Notamacropus eugenii: one gene and its partners. The protein of the gene in region 3 binds, or shares a complex with, the protein of the main gene of each other region. Links are inferred from orthologs where the notes say so. Each region holds a gene or a part of one and is shown on either strand. Other genes may lie near its edges.

Region 1 (8,101 bases), about 170 Mb from region 3:
CATACCCTTTGACCCAGCAATACTGCTTCTAGGACTGTATACCCAAGAAATCATAAAAATGGGAAAGGGTCCCACATGTACAAAAATATTTATAGTAGCCCTCTTTGTGGTGGCCAAAAACTGGAAATCAAGGGTATGCCCATCAATTGGGGAATGGCTGAATAAATTATGGTATATGAATGTAATGGAATACTATTGTGGTATAAGAAATGGTGAACAGAAAGATTTCAGAGAGGCCTGGAAAGACTTATATGATCTGATGCTGAGTGAAAGGAGCAGAACCAGGAGAACTTTGTGCACAGCAATGACCACAGTGTGCGAGAGTTTTTTCTGGTAGACTTGGAACTTCGTTGCAATGCAAGGACTTAAAAAAATTCCTAATGGTCTTTTAAGGCAAAATGCCTTCCATACCCAGAGAAAGAACTTTGGAATTCAATCCCAGAATGTAGCAGATCATTTTCTTTTGTATTATGTTTTGGTTTGTTATATGATTTCTCCCATTCATTTTAATTCTTCTACACAACATGACTATAGTGAAAATGTATTTAATAGGAATGTACGTATAGAACCTATATAAAATTGTATGCCATCTTGGGGAGGGAGGGGGGAGGGAGGGAGAGGAAGGGGAAAAATAATCTAAGTTATATGGTAGTGATTGTAGAACAGTGAAAACAAATAAAATTAATATTAAAAAATAAAAATAAAAAAATTGTTAGGCACAAAAAAAAAAAAACCCTTCAAAACCTGACTCCTTCCTATGTTTCCAGTTGTCTTATGCACTTGATGATCCAGTGACTCCAGCCTTTTTGTTACTCTCACACAGCACATTCTTGACCTCCAGCATTTTCAGGGGCTGTCCCTTGTCCCTCGAATATTCTCTCTCCTTTCTCCCTCCTTTCTTCCCTGATTTTCTTCAAGCCCCAGCTAAAATCTCACCTTCTATAGGAAACCTTTCCTGACCTCCCTTAATTCTAGTGACTTCCCTTTTTAAATTATTTCTCACATAATACTCTATATATCCTGTTAGTATGTGGCTATTTGAATGTCATCGCCCCCATGAGACTGTGAGCTCCTTGAGAGCAGGAACTGTCTTTTACCTTTCTTTGCCTCCCTAGAGCTTTGCTCAATGTCTGGTACTTTGTAAGTGCTTAATAAATGCTTATTGAATGACTGCCTTCTTCTGAGTAGCCCCACTAGCTAGAAATCAAATCCCACCTTTGGAACTTAGAGATTATAAAACTTTCCACAGGACCCTAGCTCCCTCATCTTCAGCTTTGTTATCAGAAAGGTCAAAGTGTCCCACTGCATCCAAGGTTATCTCCATCTCATCTGTATCTTGCCACTGGACCCAGATGGCTCTGGAGGAGAAAGTGAAGCTGGTGACTTTGCACAGTCCTCCCTCACTTAAATCCAACTCACTTGCATGTTGTGACACTACCTCCCTGATGTCACAAGGTCCTCTTCCAGAAAGGATAAACAAGAGCGAGGCCATACTCACTGCCTCCTTGGGAAAGATGTGGTCAAGAGGCCAAAAAATAGTGTAACCTCGATTGGAGTTCTCCACTGAGTGTAGGCTCTGGTTTGGGTCTTTTTAGAGCCGCTAATGGGAGTAGCATTTTAAGATTGTGGGGTAGAGGATAAAGGATCATGTTGGACCTTGCAGTCAGGACTTGGATTTGGTATTTGGGTGAGTCGGAGTAGGTCACTCATTCCTCCTCATCTGCTTCACCTGCAAAGTGGGATTAATAACCCCAGGAGTCCCTGGCTCAGAAGGCCACGAGGCTGAAAAGTGACAGCATTTTCTAAAGTGCTTTGGGAATTTCCCAGGGGAGCCCTTTCATCATTGGCATCCCCGTAATAATTATGGCCCTGGCTCTCGAGGACCTCAGAAAGTGCATGCCGGAACTGAGAGAGAGATGCTTATGGACCAAGGCCCGGTAGCCTGGCCCAGCCCCAGCCTCCCTTGGTCGGGGCACGGGGGAAGGCCAGCAGACGCCGGACAGAGGTAGCTCCGGGCGCATCCTGTCCAGCGGCCAGAGCTGGGCGGCGGCACAGAACACCACCCCGCGGGCCTCGCCAGCCTCCCTGGCCATTGCGGGAAGATCTAGATCCGCATTCCTCCTTAGGAGAGGGAGCCAAGGCTGGCAGCTCTAGAAGCGGGGCTGGCCAGTGCGCAGAGCGCGGGGGGCAGCCCGGGAACCCGGGCAGGGGCCTGGCCAGGCCCGGGGCAGAGGGAGCGCACATCCGGGCAGTTGGACCGGCCCGCGGGGGGCGGGGCAGGCCTGGAGCCGCTGGGCTCCCGCATTTTTCCAGAGTGACGTTTCCACAGGAAATACAAACGCTCACGCACACAGACACAGACGCACACACACACTGGGACGCTCACACACACACATACACACACACCCCAAACCCCCAGACCCTCCAGCCCCGCGGCTCGCAGCCAGCTGTGGGCTCCCGGGTCTCACAGCCCCGAGATGCGCTGCCCCCACCCTGGGGCGCACGCAGAGCCAGCCTGGCTCTCCCAGGGTCCCCCCAGGCCTGCCCAGCCCAGCCCTGCCCTGCCCTGCCCCGGCCGCCCCTCCCAGGGCGCTGTCCGACTAAGCTGGCTCCCAGCTGGGGGGAGGGGGAGCCCCCGAGAGCCGAGCCCGGCGCCCTACTCACCCTCCTTGGCTTTCTTTCTCCGGGCCAGGGTTCCTCCAAGTTTCCCCAAGAAGGAGTCATCTTTCTTCCGGGACGGGGGAGACTTGGGGGTGGGAGATTTGGGGGCCGAGGGAGACTTCTGGGGGGAGGTTGCCATGGCGGGAGCGGAGAGCGGAGCTCCGGGTGGGCCGGGCCGGGTCGGACTGGGGCGCACCGAAGGAGAAGGCGGCAGGGCAGGCGGCGGCCGCGGAGACTGAAGCTGCCCCTTTCCAAACGGAAGCGGAATTATTCCAAGCATTTGAGGCAGCTCTCGCTCTCCTTTCCCTTCCCTCCTTCCCTCCCTCCCTCGCTCCCTCCCTCTCGCCCGCCTTCCCGGGAAGAAGTTTGTCTGGCCCCTGGTTCTGGCACTCAGTGTCCCTGACTGGGCCGGGCCAGGCCAGGCCACTGAGCTCACCTAAAGCAGGTAGGAACCCCAGCCAGCCTCAGCCCCTGGAACCTCATCTGTTAACTACCAAAACCCAGAACTTTTCAATAGTGGACCTGCACTTATCAAGCATGAAGATATTTATTCCTTAACCTTTCCCGTCTGCCACCGTCAGCATTAGAGTTAGGAGGGCCTGGATTCAAGTTCTGCCTCCCATATCTGTTGCACCCATTCTCAAAGAGGTCTTTACTGGCTCTCCTGTCTTCCTTTCCTGCTCAAATAAGATTCTAGCCCAGGAGAGCCTGTTTGAGCACCTGAACCTTCTTCTGACCAGCTGCAAGAACCACAGCAGACATCACAGACTGGATCCTGCCAATAACTGAAAGCCAACATTCAATAGCGAGTGTGATATGATCAAATTCCCTTGGGTCTAGCCATTCTTTCAGAAATCGCATAACCCTGTACTCATCTCTGCGCTGATGGCTTTGGAATAGATAGCCCCTAAAGACCCTTCTGGTTCAGACATTTAAGAAAAAAATTAAATTTCAAGAGTTCCAGCTGTGAGTTCAACCTTGAATATGTTCAGTGAACTCTGGGAAACTTGTGATAAGCTAGAAGCTATGGTTGCCACAGGCTCCAGATCTGACAGCATCTGATTTCTGAATTTCCCATGGGGTCGAGTTAAGAAAGGAATTAGGTTTCAACAACTCTGATCTTTTTCTCTTTCCTTCTTTCTCTTGAAAAGCCTACTCATCCTCAGAGCTTCCCTTTAGCACAGTTTCAGGATCTATAGTGCCAGTCCTTACTTCTCTCTCAAGATCCATTTCTGGGAGCCAGGAGCTTAGAGGTGACCTGCATTCTATGCTGTTGCAGTCCTAGCTGTGACATGTTAGCTTTATTACCTTGGGCAAGTCCCTTCTTTTGGCTTCATTTTCCTATACTATAAAATCAGAGGGTTATATTACTGCACATCTTTCAGATCTGAAATTTCTTAAGAGCCCATCCTGCTGTTTAGAATCCTACAATCAACACCAGAGTATCTCCACAGGAGAGTCATGTTCTTGCCTCAAACTCAGGCCTAAAGTCAAATTAATCATCTTCCTCCCAGAACTGGTTTCTCATCTTTCCCTTTTTCTGTCAATGACAGCATTGTACTCCCATTCACTCCTCAGGGCTACCTCAGATGACCTATCATCCAGAACCCTAGCCATGTGGACACTAATCTCCTCAGTCACCATCCTATCCCAGTCCTCCTTCGATGGTTTTGGTTTTTGTTCAAGCTCTGATCGATGATTTCATCATTGTGGAAATTCCTGGTGTGAAAACTCCCTCTACCAATCTTCATCTCATTTGTCATTTATTGTCTTAAGAGATCTGACTGGGGCATTCAGCCTTAAGTGACTTGTCCACAGTTACTCTCCTAGTACCAGTAGAGGTATAACACTAATTAAGGTCTTAGGACACCAGCTCCTCCACAATACACTTCCCTACCTTTCATAGCTTCCTCTTAATATTTCCCTAACTTCCTAAGCTTGAAACTTATATGCAAGGCAAGCTACAGGTAGACAGGTGATCCAATTTTTACCCTGTGTGGTAAGTAGTGCATTTTGCAGATGAGGAAACTGAGACCCTGAGAAGTCAACTACTTGTTCAAGGTCACTGTGAATTGGTGATTCAGCTGTCTAAGAAAAAAACCCAGGTCTTTTGATGACCATCAAACTATTTATCATCAAATAAGATTTCCATTAATTAAGCACTTGCTATGTGTTAGACACTGTGCTAACCACTGGGGTTACAAAAAAAGGCAAGTAACTTTAGGTGTATCTGAAGCAGCTTATCAAGCTGAAGAAAAAATGTACCTCCCTCTTACTTGGTCAGTTTCATGTTCCCTACTCCCTCCCTTCCTACTCTACTGATTTTAACAATTTGAATATGTTAAAAAAAGCAAGAAAGAGGCTTATATTTTTTTTAAAAAAACTGAACTATGGTCATGTCCACCTTGTTGTTTAAGAAGTATAAGAGGCTCCAGCAGGTGATGGCCAGCTAAGAGTGTTGAGGGGCTAAGTGAATAGGAGACAACATTCAGGGGAGTCACCATTTTCTTCAGGTCCCAGACAGTTGCTGGAATCCCTGGGACTCTGAGCTTCAAGAGCTTCCTCACCTAGCACAGTTAGGGGTGAGTGCATGGGTTTGTCGATGCTCACCCCTGGAACTTTCTCCTGATCCCAACCATCTCTAGAAAAAGATATTTGACATTTTTGGAGTAGGGTGCTAGCACTTTTAACAAAACTATGAGTTTAGACAAAAGAGTCACTAGAACAGAGAGTAGTAGAAGATATGATTCCATCATGGACCAGTTTGATTGGGACTAATGTGAATCCAGAAGCAGTCAAAATGATTCAGACTATAAAAGATCTAGTGACGATCAAAGGGAAGATGGATATGATGATCCCAGGGATTATGACAATCCAGAGAGGGAACATGGAGAGAAAGAACGGTGACAGATCAGAAAATGGTTACCATTCTGATATTGACTATGGAGAACATGACTATAGGAATGATATTAACGATGAGTGGGAGAGTAAACAATTATGTTGCCCCCACTTTCAGTTACTGTTACAAAGAATGATATTAGAAAGAGAATGGAATCCTTTGAAGGCTCTCAGCCTGTAGATATATGGCTGATGAAGAGGAAAATAGGTGTAAGCCATGGCCTCTCCTTCTTAGAGTATCATCAATTGCAAGATGCTACCAGCTGGATAGAAACCAATCAGAAAAAGTTGGTAATTCAATGAAATCACATTGCAATGCATTATCTTAATCTTGGACCTAAATTTGAGGATGGCTTTGTAACAAGTGCTGCCCTAACAACTTTAGGAAAAGACTCAAATGCTTCAGATGTGGAGTTGATAAATTTAACTCAGAACTTCCATCTAAAACCACAGAGTCTATCCAGTCTATGGATTACTACTGTGATACTATTTTTCTTTTACTATTGCTCCTTGTACTTGAAATGCGTCATTAGTCAGAAACTCTCATCTTATAAGAGAAAAACAGATGCAGCAGAACAGAGGATTTGCATTTGTACAGATGTCTTCAACAACGGATGCTTCTCAGCTACTAGAAGTGCTACAAAGTCTTCATCCTCCACTGAATATCGATGCCAAAACAATTGGAACAGATTTTGCCAAAAGTGCTCAAAAAGATTGGGTTCTACCAGATGGTAACAGGGTCAGCACTTTTTCTGTGGTTAGCATAGCCATTGCTGTAGCTAGGTGGTCATCCCCTCAGTCTCAAAGTGGAGAATGTGACAATATAAACTACAGGCATACCTCCTTCTATTGTGCTTTGCTTTATTGCATTTCACAGATTTTGAGTTTTTACATATTGAAGGTTTCTGGCAACCCTGTCACTTTTTCAACATTTTTCCAACAGTTCTGATAATTCTCACAATATTTAATAGTTTTTCATTATTATATCTGTTATGATGATCTGTAATATATATGTATTATATACACATTATGCATACATACACATAATTGTTTTGGGGTGCCACCAACTGTACCCATTAAGACCACAAAATTAATAGAAAAATGTTGTGTGTGTTCTGACTGCTCCACTGACAAGCCATTCCCCTGTCTTTTTCCATCTCCTGGGCCTCTCCATTATCTGATGAGTCCAACAATATTGAAGAATATTACATAAACTTAGTTGATAAAGCAGCAGCAGAGTTTGAGAGGATTGACTCCAATTTTGAAAGAAGTTCTACTGTGGGTAAAATGCTATCAAACAGCATCTCATGCTACAGAGAAATCTTTTATGAAAGGAAGGGTCAATCAATATGGCAAACTTCGTTGTTGTCTTACTTTAAGAAATTGTCATATCCACTCCAACCTTTAGCACTTACATCCTGACCAGTCAGCAGCCTCAACATCGAGGCAAGACCCTCCACCAGTAAAAAGATTATGACTCACTGAAGGCTCAGCTGATGGTTAGCATTTTCTTAAGCAATAAAGCATTTTCATTAAAGTATGTACATTTTTTAGACATAATATTATTGTATGCTTAATAGATTACAGCATAGTATAAACATAACTTTTATATGCACTAGGAAACCAAAAAAACTGTGTAACTTTCTTTATTACAATATGTGCTTTACTGCAGTGGTCTAGAACCTAACTTGCAGTATCTCTGAGGTATGCCTAAACAATTACCTGCAGCCAGGCCAAGATGGCTATGCACAGAAAATCCAGTATTCATTGGATTATCAGCAGTTTTACCAGCAACAAGGGGGAGCGAAGAATGATACATCTACTGTACCAAGGGCAGCAGTTACCACTATTTCAGCAGATATATTATCCCAAAATCCTCAACTGTACGATCAAATCAACAACCCACCTGGTTCTCCATACTATTATAATTCCTCAACCGAGCAGTATCTTTATTGGGATGGAAAGAAAGAGACCTGTGTGGGGGCAACAGAATCCACCAATGAACTGATCTGCCTTCCACCAAGGAAGGAAAAGAAAGGAAAGAGAAGCCAAAGAGTGCAACGGAATGCCAAAGACATGGAACACAGAACTAAGAGTGCAAAAAAGTAAAAACTTTGAAAATAGCTTCTAGCCTGTCAGCTCCTTGAGGAAAGAAAAGAGGATAGAGCCAGCAGCAGCAGATGCAGACTTTACTGTCTTTGAGAAGGAGGGAGCTTTGACTCAATGGCAGCTACTTATCCCAGAGCTGGTAAAAGGAGAAGAATGGGAAAATCCACTCAAACATGGTCTAGTTGCTGCTTGTAATGGTGATAATGATAATGAGGAAGAATTGATGGAAAGAATTTAAAGTGAAGAAGAAAAACTGTCTACTCTGTAGAAAGTGATTTCCCGGCAAAGATGCTTAGTTAGGGAGCAACAAGTATCCAACTTATATAAGCAAAACATGGATATGTATAGATGATCTGGATCAGGTCTTCTTAAATTTTTTCCTCTTGCGACCCCTTTTTGTTTGAGAAATTTTCACAGGATCATGGGTATATAA
Region 2 (7,414 bases), on a different chromosome or scaffold from region 3:
TTCATTACTTTGTTCAAGGTCTAGCTACTTCCCAAGCTGTCTCCCCCACATACCATGCTGATTTCACTACCTTTAATCATGCCCTTTTCCCTAATCTGGAACACTCATTCCTATCTTTTTCTCCCATCTATGTCTCTCGCCTCCTTAAAAACACTGCTCAAAATTAATTTTTCAGTAAGTCTTTCCCTATCAAGTCCACTATACATGTTCTACTATGCATTTATTTTTATGTTGCACTGTGTGCCTTCTTACCTTTTTTTCCACATTTAGAACACTCTAGTTCCACAAATAAAATCTACACTGCTCATCAGTAACGAAATTTTGTACTTCTTTTACCTCTTCCCACTCCAAGTTCTCTGTTCAAAGGTACCTGATAAATATTCTAAAATCTCATAGTTAAGCCTGCAGACCTCAAACAGTGATGAAGAAATTACATTTGGGCTAAACATAAGATTCTTTTAACTGGCAAATACTGTAGAAAGCCTCACCTATTTAACCCCACATATTATAACATTTTTGACTTGTAAGTTGAAAATTTGTTAAATTTCTTACCATCATTTGTTCCCTTTCCCCCGTCACCAAGAGGTAGTTTATATAGCACCCACACAAATTCACCACTCCTTGAAGTATATATGTACATACAGATTTTCTTTTATTACTTCACATTTCAACAATTTTGATTTCATCAGCTTTGGGTATGCCCTCTATTGACACATATAAAAACCCTAACTACAATTTAGTAGCTGACCATGAAGGCTTGCATCCAATCCTCTTTTCATTATATAGATCTTACAGATGAGGAAACAAGACAAGAGAGGGTTAAATTACTTGCTAAGGTCACTCAGGTAGCAAAATTCAAACACCACATCCTCCAACTCCAAATCCAGCAGTCTCCATAATACTAGATTGCCTCCTCTCCTGCTATCAGCATGAGAACATGCTTCTCCAAAACCATCTGGACCAGTCCCTTCAGTCACAACTTTGTCGTTGGGCAAAGAGAGGAAGCCTTTTCAGCTGGGCAGGATCTGCCAGTGGTTGGGTTCTACTGGCACAACTTAGAGATTGCAGAGTCATTTCCACACCACAATGAGACATCACAGTAGAACATAAAAATACCTTCCACTAATTAAACTGAATTAATACTACTCTTGCTTTGAAGATTTCATTATACCCCTTACAACATAACTGAAGATACCCTGGGGACCCACACAAAACTAGGGCTGGGAGGTACAGCATTGCATTTTCAAACCCTCAGAATTAAATTTTTATTTGGGGAACTCTAGTTTTTAATTACTGAGGGACATTAATCTTAAGTCAAGAATTCTTAATTTTGTTTTGTGAGACCCTTTGGTAATCTAGTGAAACCTATGAAATCCTTCTCAGAATAATATTTTTAAAAGCATAAAACAGACAGCATTACAAAAAAACCCAATTATATCGAAATGAAGTTATCTGTGTATGCATACACGTCTCTATGTATATGCAAATACCTATATGTGGGTGTACATGATGTATTATAATGGAGGTGTATGAATATGTATGGGTAGTTAGGTGGCCCAGGGCTGAGCCTGGAGTCGGGAAAACCTGAGTTCAAATGTGGCCTCAGATTTTTTACTAGCAGTGTGACCCTGGGCAAGTCACTTTACCCAGTTTGCCTCAGTTTCCCCCTCTGTGAAATGAGCTGGAGAAGAATGGCAAACCACTCCAGTATCTCTGCCAAGAAAACCCCAAATGGATCACAAAGAGTCAGACACAATTGAAACAGCTGAACAACAAATACGTATAAGTGTATGTATATATATATATATATATATACATATATACGTACATACATACATATGTGTACGTATATATATATGTAGGTGTGTGTATGAAGTTCATAGATGCTATGTTAGGAACTCTTGCCTTCAATTCTCTCCAACGGAGTGGGATTTAGGCTTTTTTCCCATGGTGGCTCATTTGTGTATACACAAAAGGCTATTTTTATAAAACACACATTCATTGATCATGTTTATTTTGATCTGGAGAAGATATTAGAAATGATCCTGTTAACCTTAGTGAGGCTAAATGTTTGATCAGGATCTAGTGCAAAAAACAGCATATCTTACATACATCTGTTGTATCTTGTGTATATAAGAGCTGTGCAAAAAATGAAAATAATAAAACAAAAAATTACACTGATTCCTTCCAAATCGTAAAAAACAAACTGGTAAGTAACACCAAGTTTTCAAGAAGTCTATTCACCATGCCAAGGCACTCCTGGGTGGCACGATCCATACTCAAGGATCAGGTGGAACAGTGGGGTCTGGAGACCTGGACTCAGCGCCCTCTCGGATGATCGATCGGCTGGGCCTCAGTTTCCTCCCCTGTAACACGGGCTGGCCCGACATCTACGACCTTTTAAAAGTTTGGGAAAGGGACCGGACGGAGTGGGAGGCAGGCCGAGCCCAGCCGGGCGCGCAGCGGGAGAGCGCGGCCCCCTGCGGGGAGGTTTGGGGTCCCCCGCCCCCCCCCGCCCCGGACCCGGGGGCTACTCACACAGGCCGTGGACGTCCAGCATGTTGGAGATGCCGCGGTCGCACATGTCCACCTCGGGCTGGTTCTTCTCCCGGCTCTCCTCCACCAGCTTCTTCAGAGACTTGGACATGGTCTGCGGGGGGACGCACACGAGAAGCGCGGCACGCGTGGGTCTGGGGTCCCGCCACCTCCCACGCCCAGCCCCGACGGCGGACAGGACCGGACCCACCCCGCGCCCCGTCCCCAGGTGGGAGGGTGGGCAGAGGGGCGCCCCCACCGCCACCCCCACTTACTGTGCACAGCCGCAGCGCCGGGGGTCCCGCACGGTTAAGCCGGGAGCCCACAGGAGTCAACACGCCCTGTCCCACACCCCCGCGCAAGCGCAGACCGCGCCACTCTCCGCTCCCGCCCCTCCAGCGCGAGAGAAGCCCAGGACTCTTCCCAATTTAGGAGAATCGCTCGGAGGCCAGGGCCTCGGGGGCAGGCTCCGCCCCACCCCAAAATGTGGCGCTCCAGGCGGGCCAATCACCTCGGCGGACCTGGCCTCAGACTCCGCCCCGCTCCGCTCTCGGCCACGCCCCCAAGAGGTCGCTCTTAGATGCTGATTGGTGAAGCCGAGGGCGCGTGCGCAGGAGCGCTTACGCACCTCCAGTTTCGTTGTCGGGTGTCGGTGGAGAGGGGAAGCAGAGGCATGCTAGGAAGCAGGAAACTCTGAGAGAGTCGTGCGCCCTCGGCCGGGCCTGTTATGAGGGGACCGTGCAGCTCCGGGTCCGTTATCTCCAGGGATTTAAGAAGCTGTTCCGTTTATTTGTCCCGTGTAGCTTTGTTTGCGCGCCGTCTCCCCGTTGTCCTCAGTACCGAACACATTGCCCAGCACACAGAAGGCACCTAATAAATGCTGATGAATTGACTTGACCTGTCCGTACCTTTTGTATACGTTTGTTTTCAGGTCGGGAGCTCCCTGAGGGCAGGGGCTTTCTTTTACCTTTTCTACTGTATTCCCCCCTACCCTCTTACTCCGAGTGCCTGGCACATCGTAGGCGCTTAATAAATGTTGATTGATTGGATCCGAGCGCTGGATCCCATGAACTTTGCAGCAAAGCGTCTGGGGCCCCCCTTGTCATTGGCCCCTGAGCGGGCTGGGGAACGGGGACAAGGCGGCTCCCGACTGGCTCACCTTGCCCCAGAACCTGATTGTCTCCTGGAACCTGAGCATAACAGAAGGCGCTTAATAAATGTTGATTGATTGGATCCGAGCGCTGGATCCCATGAACTTTGCAGCAAAGCTTCTGGGGCCCCCCTTGTCATTGGCCCCTGAGCGGGCTGGGGAATGGGGACAAGGCGGCTCCCGACTGGCTCACCTTGCCCCAGAACCTGATTGTCTCCTGGAACCTGAGCATAACAGAAGGCGCTTAATAAATGTTGATTGATTGGATCCGAGCGCTGGATCCCATGAACTTTGCAGCAAAGCGTCTGGAGGCCCCCTTGTCATTGGCCCTGAGCGGGCTGGGGAACGGGGACAAGGTGGCTCCTGACTGGCTCACCTTGCCCCAGAACCTGATTGTCTCCTGGAACCTGAGCATAACAGAAGGCGCTTAATAATTGCTTGCTCCTGTTGACTGGCGGAAACCTTTGGACCCCTTCTCAGAATATCGCTTTTAAATTCATCAAATAAAAAAATAGAAGATTTGAAAGGAAACCGATTAGGTTGAAACTGTTCTCAAAGGAACTTTCTTTAAAATAGAGTCTCCAAGTTATTGTGTTTTTATTTTTAAAAAAGAGCCATTTCATCATGAGCTTAGTTAATTATTATATTTGTCTTGGGGGGAAGGGAACTAATGGGATCACAGGAAAAGGATAGAAGAGACGGGATCCTAGGGAGTAGTGCTCTAGATGAAAATCCTAGAATTTGGGGTCAAGCCAGTGACTTGTTTTAAAGATACTTGCACAGCAGCAAATTCATTTGTTTTACCAAATCTATCTAATTGTAATATACTAATGTTACACCTGCATTCTTTGTCTCCAAAAATTGGAAGCTAACCTGAGAACACAATTGAGGACGCCACAATTTAAAAACTTTTTAAAGCAGGTCAAACCTCGAATCATGTTTTAAACCAGTAATTCTTAACCTTGAGTCTGTTAATTTTTTAAAGAACTTTTTGACAACTATTTTAATAGTTTCCTTGGTGATCCTATATATTGCATTTTATGCAAATAAAAATACTATTCACAAAAAGTATCCATAAGTTCCACCAGGTGGCCATAAGGGTGCACAATGTAAAAAAAGTTAACCACTGTTTTAAGGAAAACTGAAGTTGGATATTGGGGTTTGTGAAATTGTGAAATAGGTGAATGTGTGTGGAAGCCTAAGTTTCCCTCAAGACGTTTATGTAATACTCTCTCTCAACAGACTACCATCTGTCTCTTCCACTCTGCTGCTCCTCCCACCCAAAGAACTATTCTCAGCTCCTTCATTCACAGGGAAATAAAAGTAACAATTTGAAAGTTATATTCATTCTAGAATGTTTGGAGGGATTTGGTCTATAGTGTATTACATGGGCATTCCTAGAAATCTTATGGGTAGGTATTCCATTTGAAACTCAGCTGGTCAACTTATGAAGGCAATTAGTATCACAGTCCATTAGCAAATAAAGCATATGAAAAAGCAAGCCCAATAATTATTGATCAAAAAAAAGACTAAAGTTATAGTAATAAAACTTGCTGGGAAACTGGGTGACGTAGTCAATAGAGCTTGGGGTCTGCAGTCAGAAAGATTGAGTCATCTGTCCTTTGATGACCCTAGCAAAATCAGTTGACCTCTTTGCCTCAGTTTCCTTATCTGTAAAATGGGGATAATAAAAGTCCCTATCTCTCCAAGTAGTTGTAAGAACCAAATGTTAGTATTTATAAAGTCCCTGACACATAGTACATAATTTTTAGCTTGTATACACATACCCCGTGTATTCCTGTTAACACAACCAATGGTCTAACAACTTTTCTAACTGGGGAACAGTTAAAGATAAATGTTTAAACCATTAAACCATCTACTATGTTCAGCCACATTTCTTAAGCCTCATGTGGACCAAGTAACAAATTTGACAATAAGGATTATTGTCAGGTATCTAAGATGTCATTTAATCCAACCCCCTAATTTTGAAGAGAGGAAACTAAAGTCCAGTAAGGTGATATGAATGCACCAATTAAATTTCTTGTTAATTTATTGCCCAAGAGGACACAAGTAGTGTCGAGAATGGAATTTAAACTGAGCCCCCCTGACTTGAAAATCCATGTCATACATGTCTGTGTATTTAACCACTGTATTACACTGCCTCCTCCTCTCTGTAGCTTATATCCCACCTAGAAAGGCAGAGATTGCAGTGGAAATAGTTGAAAATTGCAGTCATATGACCAGAATTTTTTATTTCCTAGGTGTACAACTAAAGACAAACTAGCCTCTCTGAGCTATGATTTCCTATGTAAAATGAGCGGGTTAAACTATATGCTCTCTCAGGTCCTCTCTACATTTAACTAACTTGAGTAAGACATGTAGGCTTCTCTGTCTCTTAAGTTCTGGGACCTTAGATGTGTCACCTAACTTGCCAGTACTTCAGTTTAGGACAGTACTCTGCCAATAGGGAGTCACTCCAGTGAAAACTTAGGGCCTCCCTTTCTGCAGCTGGGTTCCCAGTGCCCTACTCCTTCCTTCTTCCATGCACAAGTAGGCATGGATATCAATAGCTTAAGTCTTTGTCCAAGCATACAACTTTTGTGTGAGGAGTCATTCAGAGATGTCAAAGATGGCAAACTCATTAATAAGTTTGAGTACTGAGAGTAACATGTAAAATAATGGAAATCATTTCAATACAAAGTTTTATTTCAAGCAATGGGGAAGAGGAGGCAGGAAAGGAGGACCCAGCCCACAACTCAGACATATACACGAGCACAGAACATAACTCACATAAAGGTGGTGCTGCATTGGGGAGCACAAAGATGTGGGTTCATTAAGCATGAAGTTGCCCTTCTGAGAGTGGGATTCTCATACTCTGATATGGGGTGGTCCTCCTGGACCTGGCTGTTTTGCTTATTAGGGATAAGGGGAAAATACTTTGGTGATTTGTTATCAGGAAGTAAAATGAGCTAGATAGTAAACAAAATATTACTTGAGAAACGCCGCTGTATTAACCTTCAAAAATTGTTATTTTCAGTATTTTTCCATGAGTGTGTTCTATAAGCTTACATATAGCCTCCCTTAAGGGGAGAACATCAGGCCTCATCTTAAAACAATGGTTCCCATGAATAGATTCTATTAGCTACTGCCTCCCTTATGGGGAGACTCATGGTGGTCTCAAGATCAAGAGGTCTAATCTTATAACAATTTATAAAATAACAAGGTTGAACAAATGACGTATAAAGTTCCTTCCTGATCTAAACTTATGATCATATGATCTATGTGAAAATAGTCATAATTTGGAGACTAGACTCAGACTAGAGGTCGTATAAGTAGTAATAGATGTAACCCTACCTTCTTCTCTGGAATTTAACTAACCAGATCCAGTATTTGAGGAAATGCCTAAAAACGCTTTTTTTCACTCATTCTTCTCCCACCCAGAGTCAGTCACCTATGGGCAATCTCAGAGTATATTTTATTTGCAAATCTCCACTGGTAGGATAAAAAGGTTCAAACAACCCATGCAAGCACTTGTGGTAACAATGCATACCACGTACAGGACAGCTTTTATTTCACTCCATGAAAAATACATTAAACTTGTAACTTTCAGTAAGTAACCCATAAACAACCATTTTAATGGTCTTCCCTCTCCCAGACTTATAGCACCACCTTGTGTTTTGAATGACCCTTGAATGGAAATATACCTGAGATTGTTAGAGGAGAAACTGA
Region 3 (8,014 bases):
GTTAAATAATGTGCCCTACGTCAGACAGTCTGAAGTGACAGTTTATCTGGATTAAATTCAAGGCTCATTCTACCTCCAAGGTCTCACTTAGGATTTTTATAAATGATTAGAAGCTATACTAAATTCAGCTAATGATTTAAAACACATGTCAAGGTAAACAGTTTTACCCCTTCTCATCCCCCTTCGCCCTCCCACCAAAAAACAAAAGGGGGGGGGTGAGGGAGAAGCAGGATAATATTCACAATGTGCCTCAGCTATATGGTACACTTCCTGCCCCCTCCCCCGCCCATAACAATATAGTTCCATTTTTGACTCTAGTTGAAATGAAATCTGTGTGAAAACAGTACAACCATCATCCCACGCCTTCTACAGGAAGCCTTTCCCAGCCCCTTTTAATTCTAGTGCCTTCCCTCTCTTAATTATTTCCTATTTAAGCTATATATAGCTTAGTTTCTACATATTTATAGTCTTCCCAATGGATTGTGGGCTCCTTTAGGGCAGGGACTGTCTTTTGCCTCTTTTTGTACCCCAATGCTTAGCACAATTCCTAGCACACAGTAGGTAGTCAGGTTTGAAGAAATGATGCAAAAAAAATTCATCATATAGTAATTACCGCATATCATAGAGAGTGTCATTTTTGTGTTAGAAAAACCAGGCAATGAAGGATCAACAAAGCTGTCTGATATCAAGGAGAAATCAACTGAGAGCCCACAGAAGCAATATGGCTAATTATAATCAGTAAATTTGCCAGGATGTGAAATCAAAAAGTGTTCATATAAAAATCCCTGTGAACACTTAAACCCTCAAGATAAAACCTTCTTAAACAATAATCTACCACTAATTAAGTCGATTTATTCTAAAACAAGTGTTCCATGTCTAGCTTTCCACATATAAATGTGTCAGTCTCCCTCCTTCCATCTGTTGTAACTTTCTGAAAACAACAATGACACGTATTTATGTAGAGCATACATTTTACAGAAACATCATTCAGAGCAACTGTGAACTAGGTAGTGTAACTATAATCACTCCTATTTCACAAGTGAAGATCTTGCTGCTCAAAGAATCAGACATTTAGAGCTCAAAGAGATCTGGGAAATGACCTAGTCCAATTGTCCAATTTTACAAAGCAGAAGGATAGTTAGAAAGTAACACTAGAAGCCCCCCTTCTGACTCTTTACTCTCTATAGAACCCTTTCCACTATACTGTACAAAATTAATCAATAATTCAACAATGACCATTTATAAAGCGTTTACTATCACAGCAGGCTAAAATAAAGCATTTTTCTGGTTTCAGTCAGAACACTGCATAGGTCTAGAGCTCATCTATAGAATTCCCTGGATAAGATACCTCTCACTCTCCTTTGGAAATATGGCAGGTCCCTGGATACAGAACACTGCATATGGTTTCATATCCCCATCCCCCACTCCCTATATTCGATTAGCTTTTTGATTTTTTTCTCATCTCATTTTCTTTTTTTTCTATAAAATATATTCTTTGTTATAAATAAATAAAATAAAATAAATTATATTCTTTGTTCTATGTACAAGCTCTCTGGGAGAGGTGAGGAGATATACTAGGGGTAAATTAAGATCGATGTAAAAACAAAATAAAGAATGTCCCAAGAGTCTCAATGAAGTTCTAAGTTTCTAGAAGCTTAGAACTGCAGAGACTTTTGGGACACTTTGTAAAAAATTATTTTAAAACAAAAATTCACTAGACAACACAAATCCTGATTATAACATAATGAAAACAATCCCTAATGTCTCAACAAATGGAGCTGTTAAATGGGACCAAAGAGTTACATTCTATACTGGAGAGCACGTAAGGATCCCTGGAAGCTGTGACGAGTGGTAAACTAGACAAGTGACAAAGTCATTAATTTCAATCTTATTTGGGATTTTCAATTACACAAAATGTTTTAATCATTTAACTTGGGTCTGCCAGTTATTTCTGTACTACTAATGAAAATAGGGGGTTTACCTAGTAGAGATATTTTACTTCCATACCTGTGATCTCATTAATGTGGGCATCTTATATCATTGCTGACTTGGCTAATTTGTGCCTTCTCATCTTCTGTGATTACTGCCTTTTCCCCCCCAGATTAATCTTACACAAAAGATCTTAGGCTATTATTTATCATATAAACTTTTTTATTATTTAAATTATTTATCACATAAACTTTAACAGCATTTATTTGTAAGTAAATAACTTGGCCAATCATTAACTATTTTTACTTACTAAACCAAGTCCCCTAAAAACCATTACTAGATGGTAATGTCTAGCTCCAGGCATTGCAAGTAGATGTATTAAAAGATATATTAAACCATTATTGTGCAGTAAATATATTAAAATATATAAAATGTACAAAAAAGTACAAAATTACATTCTTCATAAATATGATGTCTGAGTCTCTAAATGTCTGAAATGGGCAAAAATTTTTAAGATCTGATATGAAAACATATTACTTTGGAGCAAACATTTCCTCATACTATAAAAGAAATGAAAATTTGTCTCTGCCGCTATTAGCCCCAACTAAATGAAGCCAGCATCGCGCCTAAGAGTACTTTTATGTCAATGGACCACATTAACTAGCAAAGCCAAGGCACAGACCTATCAACTTGTGAGCAGCAGGAATATTTAGCAGCGCATCACCCTTCAAAACCATTCCTACAAGGACACAATGTCAAAACAGCCAGTGAGTTTAAAATACTGAGAACACTACATTCCCATCAGTAAAGGACCCACCCTGGGAGAGGGAAAACTTACAATCTTGCATAAAAGTCACAGAATTCCTTGTAGACTTTTATGTCACTTTGCCTACGCTGCAGTTTGGACACAGCCTTCTCGCCTTCATTCTCATCAGCATCGTGGCCATCATTAATTACAGTCTGTGGGATTTCTTCGTTTTCTGGAATGACAAGGGGGTGTACCCTGCCTGTGAGTGCCATCCTGAAGCAGTAACTTATCTGAGAGCTCTGATACTGGGGCAGAGAGCTGCCGACTACATACACCAGCGGGAAAAACAGTGTACAGGACTTCCCCCCGATTCCCAGCAGTGGGATTCATTTCCACTGTTTACACGTCAGTTAGGCAGGCTTTATAAGGACTCCACAGAAGCTTCAAGTTAAGAGCCCAGAGGCACCGTAGACAGGATGACAAGGTATGATTTACTTGGGCTTGTTGGAAGCCCTACAGCAAGCATTCCATCAGAGCTAGCATAAACATAGGGAGGACAGTCTTCACTATCTATTATGGACCATGAAAATTCTACCACAGCACAGCAGAAGCATTTTATGGACAACCAAGTCTCTCCTCTCTCTCTCTCTCTTTCTCTCTCTCTCTCTTTCTCGCTCTCTCTCTCTCTCTCTCTCTCTCTCTGTCTCTCTGTCTCTCTCTCTCTCACACACACACACACACACACACACACACACACACAGAGAATATATTTATTTCCAGATTCTAAAAATATTGTGTATGTGAAGCACTACATTCTGACTAAACTTAAATAGAAACTGGGGCTACTAAACCATACATAAACCCTACATGTCACATACTGACAGAGAAAACCACATATTAACATTATCTGTGTTTTATAATATTTCTCCTGAGTTACAAAAAAAGTAGTTTAAAATTTAGAGAAAAGAGGAACCTCTAACAGGCTGCTTCACTTGCACCTTGTTCTTTGGCATTTCACTTAGATTTTTTTCTACAGCTTTGCCTATGATTGAATCCTTTCAAGGCTCACAATCAATATTTCTTAATAATTCACAGTTATCTCTAGGCTTCCATCTCAAAGGCTCCATAAGCAGCCAACACAGGGGCAGTTTTGTAGTCAATGACGCGATTCTTTCCAACACACATGCCAGCACTTGACTTTTCTCCTTTACCATAGGGACCTGTTTTAGTATTTCATGCACCAGATCAATTTACCCCACCCAAATGATCAGACTTGTGTTTGCTGATGTTCTTTAAGTTCTCTCCAGATCTAAATTCTTACTACCTTCCTTCTCTCCATGATTGGTAAAATCTTTAAATTTTATCAAATAGTGAGCCCTAAAGACAAAAATAATGAAACAGACTATACGTATTTCTACAAAGAAGCTTTCCAGGATCTGCATGTAAAAGGCTACACATCCAAGCATTACATATATATGTATTTACATACACATATTAATATTGCCTGCAACAAATTTATCACAGATTAGATTTCCACTTATACAAAATGAAATCTTGCCCCTTTACTTGCTACACATTCAAAAAATGCAAAACTGTTCTAATATTAATTTAAGTAAAACTGTAATTATCAAGGCAAATCTACTATATAATAAAATGCACCCTAAAGTAAAATTTAAAGTTTCTTAATAACCCATGGTCCTCCTAAACAACCCTCCTCCAATCAATTTAGAAAATTTACGTGGGCCACCTAAAACCTACAGAAGAGATAAACTGAAACTGTATCTGTTGATAGTAAGTGGTAGGAGAAGATGGGTCTCTGATTTAGTGGAGAAAGTACTGAACTTGGAGTCAGCAAGAACTAGGTTGAAATTCCGCCTTAAGATATTTACTATCTGTGTGACCTGAGGTAAGTCATTTAATCTTCCTAAGACTCAGTTTCCTCATCTGCAAAATGAGAGTATTGATATTAGAAGTTACCTTGTGTGACTGCTGTGAGGATCAAACCAATATTTAAAGCATGATACAGATTTCAGTTGTCATCATCACTAGGGCCAGTGAAAACCTGAAATTTATCATGAGGCTCAAAATTTCCCTTTAACGTTAAAAAAAGAAAATAGATTCTATCTCTGACTTAGCAAAGGTTACAAAATGTATTCGCTTGCAAGCAAAATGCTTGTCTAAGTGAGGTAAGTTATCATGTCATTTATAATGTCACAAATTTAGAAACAGAAGGGACATTGGTGTAATATAAATCAATATTCTCATTTTGCAGGTAAAGAAGATCCAGAGATCCAGAAATTATATGACTTAAGGTCATATAGGCAATAAGTGGTAGAACCCAAGTCCTCTGACTTTAAAAGACAATGTTTCTTTTCCCCTTCACAGCATTGCTAATAATCCAATAATTCTTCAATACACATGATAGTGAAAGATATGTTTTAAACTATCGCCATCACAACCAGAATTCAAAGGTGGCATGGTGAAAAAGAAAAGAAAGGGATAGATACTAGAGACAACAGAATTTGGTGATTTGAGAATGGAAGACAGGAAAGAGTTAAAGATGACTGAAGTTTGGAACCTGGGTGTCTATAAAGATGTTGGTGCCATGAGTTGAAAAAGGAAACTCAAGAGGCACAGAGCGAGCTTTTGAGCATCACGAAGGGTTTGATTTTGGACACGTTGAGTTTGGTACACCATTGGAGTATCAACAGGCAGATGGATATGTGGATCTGGAGATGTTGGGAGAGACTGGAGGCTAGGGTACATTTGGGAACTGTCTATATAGAAGTGATACTTGAAGTCATGGGAATGGATGAGATTACCCAAGTCAAAGAGCTGAGGGATAAAACCTTGGGGAAGACCCATAGTTAAGGGAGTGAGGAAAAGGAGAGAAACCAACATGAAAGGACTAGTCATAATTGGGGAGAACCTTTATAGAAACTATTGTTACAGAGCAAAAAAATGTCTCTAAGAAAAAACCCACTATTGTTCACATTACATATTCTTATTTCTTATTAGTTTTTATTACTTATGAGTGATTTATCACACAAGAACTTGGGGACCTGCTGCTACATGCCCAGTATGCTGCTATGACAATATGTGAGGTCCTAAAGTCAGCCTTCAAGAAGCTTATACTTGATACCACCAACTAGGGTTGCTAGGTTGCAGAGAACTAGTCTTGGAATCAGGAAGACTCATCTTTCTGAGTTCAAATCTGGTCTCAGACACTTACTAGCAAGTGTGACCCTGGGCAAGTCACTTAACCCCGTTTGCCTCAGTTTCTTCATTTGTAAAATGATCTGCAGAAAGAAATGATAAATCACTCCAGTATCTTTGCCAAGAAAATCCTCAATGATGTTCCAAAGGGTCAGACACATCTGAAAACCACTAAAACACAATCAACATTAACCACCAAAGTACTAAATGCAAGCAGACTATGGTGGAACTCGAACAACATTAAAAGGGCCAAGGTTTCTCACACTCTACATAAGAAAGGACTGGGATCAGCTCTTCTGCCACCGTGAGGTTATGTGGCCTTACTCTTCTCAAAAGCCTGGATAGGCTGATAATTCAGTTCAATTAATCACTCATTTCATCTTGATACCATGGATTAGAACCAAAGGAAAAGCTTTTTTTAAGGGTCTAAATATCCGAATTATTATTTTTAGCAGAGCAAGAAAGAAGATGAGGGGGTATTTAAGGCCATGTCAGTCATAATTGCTGGGATTCAAATTTTCAAATCCAAGCATTTTGTTATTTAAAAAGCATTTGTTGGCACCTAATAAAGTCAGCTAAAAAATATAAACAATCTTTTGGGGAGTAATTAATTCTGGAAGTTACTTGATTTATGGTTCTACTGCCACAACAGCCATACAATCAAACCAACAGCTGTTAGACGAAATTAACAAAAGGGGGGGTACAGTTCTAGAAAACCTCCATGTTTAGCTATTCTATATTTGTTTCAGTAGAAAGTGGCAGGTAGGCTCTGTGGAATCACTGAATCTAGATTCCTGAGCTGAGGTCCCCCGAGGTTCCAAAAAGAGTCCTGCCCAAGAGTAACCTTTTCAATTCATTTCCAGACTCTCTCTCCACACTTGAATGGTAGTTTGGGTCCAGGTCAAGCCCAGGCAATAAAGTATAAAACATCTAAACAGATAAGTATATGACTACTTGATCATTTGAGCAAGATGAGAATTCTCATTAGCTAGGAAGATCAAGAAATGTTTCTGATGGGAAGTGGCATGCAGGCTGAACTTGGAAGAAACGGAAGGATTCTAAGAGGCAGAGATAAGAGGAAGTGTATTCCAGTTAAAGCACGGAGTGTCTATATAAAGGCACAGGGATACAAAGGCACAGGGATGGAAGATAGAATGCCCAGTCTGAGGGACAGCTCATTTCTACTGGAAATGTAAAGTCCATGAAGGGGAGGAGAAGGGGAAGCTGAAGCCCAGAAGGGGCAAGGTTTTAAATGCTTAAACGTCTACATTGAGGACGGTGTATTCTGTCCAAGAGTTAACAGGGATCAAACGAAAGTTCTTGAGCAGGAAAGTGGTAACATGGTCAGACTTATGCTTTAGGAAGATTATTGGAGCAGCTGTCTGAAGGATGGAATGAAGAACCCCAGAATCTCAGAGTGAGAATAGATCTCAGGAGTTGACCTATCCACCCTGTATCTGAACATGAATTCATTTCCCCTACAACATACCCAACCTTTGCTTCAAATCCTCTAATGATGGGAGCTAGGTGGTGCAGTGGATAGAACATCAGCCCTGGAGTCAGGAGGATCTTAGCTCAAATGTGACCTCAGACTGGATGTGTGACCCTGGGCAAGTCACTTAACCCCAATTGCCCCCCTCATAGCCACTCTAATAAGAGTGAATCCACTGTCTCTCAAGACACTCTGCTCATTTTAGTTATGAAATTTTTCCTTATATCGTATCTAAATCTACCTCTGTAAATTTTATTCCTCAGCACTCCAAGTTCAAGAATAAGTCTAATCCTTTCTTCCACAAGGGAGCTGCCTTTAAGTATGTGAAGTCCTAAATAATTCCTTTAACTGATCTTCAAATGAAATATGCCCTGGCTCATTGCCAATCTTGTTAATATATTAAAGTAAGTGGTATTTAGGAATTTTGTCTTGATTGGCTATACATGTTTGTAATAGGGACTATGTTTTCCTTTCATTCTCAATGGGCAAGGGGATTGGAAAGGGAGGGAGAGAAGGTAGATTTCTGCCAACTGAAAAAAAATAAAATTAATTTTTAAAAAAGAAAGAAGTGTTTGAGCTTTGACTTGAAGGAAGAGAGGATTTCTAAGAGGCAGAGGAGAAAAGGAAGT

What was found.
Region 1: LIMS1 (region 3) and PARVA share a complex: the UniProt entries of both Homo sapiens proteins name them as parts of the heterotrimeric IPP (ILK-PINCH-PARVIN) complex. The link is inferred for Notamacropus eugenii from reciprocal best matches to the Homo sapiens genes LIMS1 and PARVA.
Region 2: the proteins of LIMS1 (region 3) and RSU1 are in contact, whole or in part, in a crystal structure (PDB 7LT9), measured with the Homo sapiens proteins. The link is inferred for Notamacropus eugenii from reciprocal best matches to the Homo sapiens genes LIMS1 and RSU1. Residues at the interface, in NP_001180417.1 of Homo sapiens: Cys252, Phe253, His254, Cys255, Asn256, Leu267, Asn268, Lys269, Ser279, Thr280, Cys281, Asn282, Thr283, Glu293, Phe294, Asp295, Met296, Lys297, Cys303, Lys306, Phe307, Pro308, Glu310, Leu311, Arg314, Leu315, Lys317, Leu318, Ala319; in NP_036557.1 of Homo sapiens: Asp21, Ser23, Asp24, Gln44, Val46, Ser48, His49, Val67, Asn69, Phe71, Asn72, His90, Asn92, Met95, Glu112, Asp115, Thr117, Tyr118, Arg137, Ala138, Tyr140, Ser142, Asp143, Ile161, Ser163, Arg165, Asp166, Glu184, His186, Gln188.

Annotation. Positions count from the first base shown.
Region 1 is NC_092877.1:32,946,091-32,954,191, forward strand, and holds the start of PARVA (alpha-parvin), read right to left. Parts: upstream 3,004-8,101; 5' UTR 2,942-3,003; coding exon 2,665-2,941; intron 1-2,664. UniProt on the Homo sapiens protein: Plays a role in sarcomere organization and in smooth muscle cell contraction. Required for normal development of the embryonic cardiovascular system, and for normal septation of the heart outflow tract.
Region 2 is NC_092874.1:57,467,655-57,475,068, forward strand, and holds the start of RSU1 (ras suppressor protein 1), read right to left. Parts: upstream 3,059-7,414; 5' UTR 2,811-3,058; intron 2,651-2,810; 5' UTR 2,648-2,650; coding exon 2,539-2,647; intron 1-2,538. UniProt on the Homo sapiens protein: Potentially plays a role in the Ras signal transduction pathway. Capable of suppressing v-Ras transformation in vitro.
Region 3 is NC_092877.1:204,394,481-204,402,494, reverse strand, and holds the start of LIMS1 (LIM and senescent cell antigen-like-containing domain protein 1), read right to left. Parts: upstream 3,088-8,014; 5' UTR 2,950-3,087; coding exon 2,768-2,949; intron 1-2,767. UniProt on the Homo sapiens protein: Within the IPP (ILK-PINCH-PARVIN) complex, binds to F-actin, promoting F-actin bundling, a process required to generate force for actin cytoskeleton reorganization and subsequent dynamic cell adhesion events such as cell spreading and migration.